Cricetulus griseus: one gene and its partner. The protein of the gene in region 1 purifies or fractionates together with the protein of each later gene. This does not show direct contact. Links are inferred from orthologs where the notes say so. Each region holds a gene or a part of one and is shown in the gene's direction. Other genes may lie near its edges.

Region 1 (3,655 bases):
TCACATTTCAGTTTTGCCATTTTAGTGCTATATCAGTTGTATTTATAAACGTAGAGAAAATTGGTTGTATTTTCAGTTTTCTTGTAGCATGGCAAAGTACGATTATCTTTGTCAGAACTTGATTAGTTAATTCAGTTAGTGGAATCAAGCCTATATTATATAAATCTAACATTTACCACTTAATCTAAAATATGGAGGCTTTAATACTTGGTTTTGTGATGCCATGTTAGTTGTGCTTTTATTTTCAGGAAACAATCAATCATAGATTTCTTCAAGCCAGCTTCTAAACAAGGTATGCATATTGTTAATGTATTTTTGATGGGTTGTTTTAGAGGTGAAGAGGGCCTCCAAACTTTTTATTATACTGTTCAGAATTGAAAATTATACAATTATAATGAAGATGTGATAAACATTAAGCCATCTGTTCTACATATTTAACAGTTAAAATAATCCAGTTTATAGTGTTGATATTTTTTTATCCTTTTTTTTCCCAAGACAGGGTTTCTCTGTGTAGCCCTGGCTGTCCTGGAACTCACTCTGTAGAACAGGCTGTCCTCAAACTCAGAGATCTGCCTGCCTCTGCCTCCCAGTGTTCATATTATTTTTATTCTCTAGTACAGTAGCTCACAAATAGAGCCTTAGGGAGGTTAGATGATATAGCAGAAGGGCTTTTACTTCATAAAAGGTAAACCTATTTCTTAATTTCTCTTCCATAATGTAATTGGCTTGAATTTTTTAGTAGCTTCAGTACAGTTATAAATTGATAGTTAATAGAAACATTAGTTTACTTTTAATAACATAATTTGTATGTGTTTTAATTGTGGCTGTTTTAGACAAACATATGTTGGATTCTCCACAAAAATCAAACATCAAATATGGAGGAAATGGAGTATCCATCAGTGGGACAGAGCAATTTGAAAGGAAATTATCTTCACCAAAAAAACCCAAACCCAAACGAATGTCATCAGAAGAAAGTCCTATTTTAGAAGCTTTCATGAAAGGTAGGAAAGAGCACCACAAAGATCATGGCGTACATGAATCACGGCAGCCTTGTATGTCAGTCGGCTCCAAATACTTACTCCAAGGAGCAGGTATCTATGCTCCTTCCTCTTACCGATTGTCCAAAGAGGTGAAGACACGGAAGAAAAAACACAGATCTCCAGAGAGAAGGAAGTCACTGTTCATTCATGAAAGTAACAGGGAAAAGAATGACAGAGATCGAGGCAAGACCAGTGAAGACTCCAGAAAGCAGTCCCCGACTACAGAAGGTGACATCTTCAAGAACAGTTCCAGGAGTGTTAGCAGCAGAAGCAGCCTGTCCCGGCACCACCCAGGAGAAAGCCCTCTGGGAGCTAAGTTCCAGTTGTCATTAGCTTCTTACTGCCGAGAACGAGAGCAGAAGAAGTTGAGAAAGGAACAGCAAATGGAACAGAGAATCAACTCGGAAAATTCTCTCTCAGAAACAAGCAATCTTTCCTTAAAATCATCTAGTGTAGGGAAAAAATGTAAGCCAAGGCATGAACACAGTAAACAGAATGATGCTGCACCTGGAAAGAGTAATCTTTCAAATCTGGTATGTACAATAATAAAAGTAGAGCTTTACCACTGCTGTGCCATGGTTAGATCCTAAGTCTAAAGATACTGATCTATAACATTTAAGGAAATGCAGGTGCATAATTTGATCTAACACTGGCTTCATTAGATTTCCTCCAACTACCCTTCATTGAATTCAGTAAATTTCTTTACCTTAATTTTTTCAGACCAGGAGCAAAGATCTTTTCTAATGGAAAGTAAACATTCTTTCAGGCAAGTATAGTCATTTTTAAAGTTAAGATTTCCAAAAAGAGGTGTTTAAGGAATGGCAAATATAAAAGAACAGGAAACAACTTAGAGCAGTGGTCCTTAAAATGTCCTTGGAGCAGTAGTAGCATCAGCAGCACTTGGGAATTTGTCAGAAATGTAGTCTCCACCTAGTAAGAAACAGTGGAGTTGGAGCCCAGGAGTCTTTGGCTTATAAGTCCACAGATAACTGATGTACTCTAAAACTTCAAGAATCACTGTTCCAGATATATATAAATCTTTGATTTATTTTATTTGAATCGGTATGTGGAGAAGCCATCAAATCCTCTGGAGTTGGAGTTACAGGTAGTTGTGAGCTGCCTGACGTGGGTGCTAAGAACTCAAGTTGTACAAGAGCACAAGAACTTTTAACTACTGAGCTATTTCTCCAGCCCCATATACAAATCTTAGATAGTTATGATTTGATTGAGTATGGGTTTTGGAAATATAACTGATGACTTAGAAAACTGCATGTATTTTTTATTCCTATCATTTTTCTTTTGAGAACACAGACTCAGCCTCAAAGCTTTCCCTCTTCCCTAGAAAGTTAACTACACTGGCGTACATAACCCAGTCCTGTCTCAAAAACAAAAACAGTGTAGAACTGGGAATGCAGCTCTGGTGGAGTGCTTGCCCAGTATGTGAAGAGCCCTGGATTGAGTCCTCAACACTGCAAAGAAGTGTAGTGTTGATAAGCTACTATGAAAATTTCAAATCAGATAAACCAAAAACTGGACATTCTAGGAGTGAATGTAAAGAAATCCTAGCATTGTGTATTATTAGAAGGTATTTGTAAATTAGCAGCCTCTTTGCAACAAGATTGTCCTTTTACTACTAATGTTGCTGGTGATCAATAGATGTAATATTTGGTTCATAGCCTAACAGTCTTCAACTATTAATTTTTGAGTTATGAATATAAATTACTATTACCTTGTGAAACATAGACTTCATTTTTGTGGTTTTTTTTTTAGTTTGTTTATTTGTTTTCCCATTTTTATGGTACAGATAGATGGCTGTGTGTGTTTCCCTAGTGCTAGATAGTGCATTCAGGCCTTGTGTGTCCCGACAAGCACTGCTACATCTCTGAGCTACATCTCCGGCCCATACCCTTCTTTTTAAGATCTTTAAAGTTTTCCTTTTCTTTTTAAAGCTACCTCTGAATATAGGTGCTAGATTATTGGTCTAGAAGTCTGTTCAAATGTAAATTCATATTCTTTAATTCCTCATAGGAAAATGGACATCTCTCAAGAAAAAGATCATCTTCAGACTCATGGGAACTTTCAGGTAGGTAGCATCAGACTTAAGCATACAATTTCTAAGTAAGTTTGCATCTTCTTCATATCACTTTTAAAAATAAATTTATTCATATTCAGTTTCCATCCTAGAATTAAATGTCTCAGCTAATAAGAGTTGGGTAAAAATTATATCTCAAAAGAATAATACTCAGAGCTACATATGGTGGCACATAGGAGGATCTAGAGTTTGAAGTCAGCCTGAAATGCATTGAGTAAGATCTGACCTCAAAAACAAACAAACAAAAGTGCTTGAGTTTATTCTTCATAATCTGTTGTCTTGATTTCTCTCTGCCTTCTTCAGGAGTTCCTAATAGTGTGTTTTAACAGTGTGTTCTTTATACTAGTATTGAGTGTTTCACTTCAGAATCCTTAGCTACATCAGGAAACATACTTTGATGTTAGGTTGATGGCACATACGTGTGATTCTAGCACTGAGGGAGAGGAGTGCAAATTTGGGGTAGCATGGGCTACAGTAGGATGCTGTCCCAGAAGGAGCAGCAGCATATACTTGTATTCTTGGT
Region 2 (3,655 bases), on another chromosome or scaffold:
TGAAGTCCATAAAATACAATAAATATTCACACTAGCATTATTATACCTAGTTAATGTATTTTTTTAATCACATACAGAAAGAAATTCAGAATGATGAAGATTCCCAAACCAGTTCTGGTTGGACCAAATACAGCAATCAAGAAGAAAGCAAAAATTTTAAGAAAGACTCAGGATCTCTTGAAATGAAAGCTGCTGGAGAGAGCATGTATAGAATCCAGGTAAAGTTTTATGAGTTAAACATTCTCTGATTTTTCGTAAATAATTGTAAGAGAGAGCCCATTTTTGGTAAACCTTGGGATCTGAAAACTAGCATATCAACCTTATATTTTTAGGCCATGAATTGAGCATGATGGAAGTTTTTGTAAGTCTGTGTTTGGGGGCGCTTTGAAATAATGCATATGTGCCTAGAGAATTGTTGAGTTCCTCAAACATGGCATAGTTTCAATGCATGCTAATTACTTAAAACTTCTATATGCTTCATGTGGCACCAGCCTTAGAGGACTTTTCCTCATCTGTGAGCACTCTCTTCATAATTAATCTAAAGTTATCATATAACAGTTTGAAACAAATTAATTTGTATTAACATGGAGAAAAAAACAAAAACACTAGGGCGACTGCAGCTGTTGTGACATGTTTCACAGACATTAATGATAGACAACAATGAAAAACCTCATTGGTTCTACTGAAGAAAAGCTGATCCTCATTTAATACTGTATGTAATAAGTGTATTTATTTTGTTAGTTTATCAGATCAGTTATTCAGTAACTATTTTCTAAACTGAAACATTTTTATGTGTAGTTAGAAACTCATTGTGTTCAAGATAGGTACAATTTAGAAGTTTTTTAAATTTGTAGTCTCTTAAAATCACATGAGGAGTTTAACTAAAGATTAAAATACTTTAGCCTTTTTGCTCCTACTCCTGAATGCAGTGGTATCTGTGTGCCTTTTAAAACTTCCTTCTGTAATCTTGGGTGATGTTTAGTAAGGCTTATTGAATTGGTATGTCTAAAATAGTCATTCCAAATTCAGTTTGAACAGTTTTACATACAGCAAGGAATATTACATACAGTAAGGAATGGAAAATGATAATGTTATCAAAATAGATTTCATTTTATTAAATTTTATTAAATATATAAAAATAGATAAATTTTGCAAAAGATGGGGAAATTATCAAAGTAAATGTAGGAGATTTTACATAAAATTAACAGAAATTTCTCATGTCCCAAAGAAATGAGATAGTAATACTTCATACTCTAAATTAAATAGGCAGGTTATGTAAGTATATCTAGTAAGTTACTTTTTATAAAATGTGGTAAACTAAAGCATATGTTTTCTTAGCCCTTTTTGTATAACTAGAGTGGATTCAAATTCACCTTACATTTTAAATTTACTCTCATGTGTGCTGTATAAAACCTGCCTTTCTAAAATTTTGTGTGACTTCCATTAGTTGTGTTGAACCTATATTAACTCAGTATAATTAATTTTATAATCACACAGAACAAAATGGAAAATCATGACAAAAATATTAATGACAGATTTGTTCTGAGTGAACATCACAATAAAGAAAAATTCAGAGACTACAGAAAATATATGAAATCTGTTAAAAAGAGAAATACATTTAGAAGACATGTACATGAGAATCAGGTAAGTTTTCACAAAAATATTCCTTTTATGTTATAAATCCTTTCTAAATTTACTAAATACAATGTGAGTCATGAAACTTCTTAGGAAGTACTTGTACAGAAGTGTTATAAGACATTTATGCAGCAATTTTAAAGGAAGAAGAATGCCAATTTATCAACTCCTTGGCCAAGGAAAGAATCAGTCTTCCCCAATTTTCAAGCCACCTCTGTGTCATTTCCTAACTGTATCTTTTCCATTTCACATGGAAGTATTCCAAGTATTTCTTATTTTAGAACTTATATTATTTTTCCTTTTGTGTGTGTGTGTGTGTGTGTGTGTGTGTGTGTGTTTTGTTTTAAAGTGGTATTTAGTTTTGCTTGTTAATGAGCATTTATTAGGTCACACTATTTATGGACATTTTCCTCACCTATATGTTTTGTTGTTTGATTGTGTTGCAGTTTTAAACTTCATCCATTTTGTTGTTGTTGTTGACAAGCATTCGGTTTTCTTTTTGTTTCTTTGTGGTTGATTGGTTGTTTTGAGATTATCTAACAGTTCTTGTATAAATAATTAGTATTCTCTTGCGTGACTCTTAGTACACAGGTTTATGGATTTCTCTAGCTGAGAATGTATTCCTAGAAATGAAGTTATTGTCATCAGGACAATATGTCACCTGTTGTTCATGATGCTCTTCTGTTTTTCCAAATGCTTTTTGCTAACATATACACACTTGTCTGTAGGAGAGCTTTTCTTGTGCATAGAGCTCTATTGATCAATGTGTCATGTTTATTTTGTCATCCCCCCCAGCTTATTTGGATTTTGTAACGTTTAATGCATATTCTGATTTGTTTAATTGTGGTAAAATACAGAAAGAAACTAAGAAAAAACATAAGAATGTCCATAAAAGTTACATTTTGAGGAAAAAGAACAGAAAAGAAGATTATTACAAAACTGATGATGAACATGACACAATCAGAAGTACTTTAAAAAAGCATGTGCATTACAGAGATCAGGTGAGACTATAGAATATGTGTTTCTAAGTTTTCTTTTTTTGTAGTCTAGCCAGTGGATGTGCTTAATAAAGATGCTCGCTGTATTAAATTCTATATACTTTTGAACAATTCTTAATGATATACTTATATTTTGCTTTTATATATATTATTTTACTTATATACATTTATTATATTATATACATTATAATATAATTAACTTTGGTCTATAGTAAAACTCTATATTAATATAAATAAGGAAATTTGGCTGACTGTGATTCTTAAATTAAGTTGTATTTCATAAACAAAAAGGAAAAGAAAAAAATGATCTAGAAGAGAGGTAAATTTCTTTTAACTTTTTTTTTAATTTTTGAAATTGTAATATAAATTCAACATGTTTTCCTTCTTCCCTATATATCCCTATTCTTTTCCAAGTTCATGACTATTTTTTTCACCATTATTCAGTAATAATCACACACATATATGTATTCACAGTACATATATATTCCTAACTATAAACTGTTGAGTCCATATAATGTTACTTATTGCATACATGTTTTTATGGTTGACCTGTTGGCACTGGACAAGTCATAGGTGTACTTCTCCCTGGGGAAGAACGTCTCATCCACTCCCACCTTTCCTCAGTTGCCTAAAGTTCTTTCTGTAGGATTGTGGCTCCATGGTGTTTCCCTCATCTACTTTGGCATGTTGGATTGGTGACTTCCTTGTTCAGCTCATGTTTAGACAATCAAGTTGATGAAACTTAATGGGTGTAGCTTCTGATGTTACTTGGAGACACAGCCTCACTTAAACTCTCTGATTCCTCTTACTCTTAAAAATCTTTCTTGCTCCTCTTCCTTCCAAGTTCCCTGAGCCTTAGGTGCATATATTATAGATGTATCCATTGGGACTGGGCTCTACAACTTGGCATATTGATGGCATGTGGGTTTCTGTAGTGGTCCCTGTCTGTCACAAAGAGAAGTTTCCTTGATGTGAGGTAAAGACCACCCCTGTCTGCAGGTATAAGAACAAATAGATTGCTG

The links. Proteins that work in one complex are often made in the same cells at the same time.
Region 2: the proteins of Slf2 (region 1) and Slf1 purify together in Homo sapiens (co-immunoprecipitation; 3 studies listed by BioGRID and IntAct, with this or other methods). This does not show direct contact. The link is inferred for Cricetulus griseus from reciprocal best matches to the Homo sapiens genes SLF2 and SLF1.

The regions. Positions count from the first base shown.
Region 1 is NC_048596.1:16,631,856-16,635,510, reverse strand, and holds part of Slf2 (SMC5-SMC6 complex localization factor protein 2), read left to right. Parts: intron 1-248; coding exon 249-292; intron 293-833; coding exon 834-1,573; intron 1,574-3,068; coding exon 3,069-3,123; intron 3,124-3,655. UniProt on the Homo sapiens protein: Plays a role in the DNA damage response (DDR) pathway by regulating postreplication repair of UV-damaged DNA and genomic stability maintenance.
Region 2 is NC_048595.1:298,138,751-298,142,405, reverse strand, and holds part of Slf1 (SMC5-SMC6 complex localization factor protein 1), read left to right. Parts: intron 1-77; coding exon 78-218; intron 219-1,497; coding exon 1,498-1,644; intron 1,645-2,492; coding exon 2,493-2,636; intron 2,637-3,655. UniProt on the Homo sapiens protein: Plays a role in the DNA damage response (DDR) pathway by regulating postreplication repair of UV-damaged DNA and genomic stability maintenance.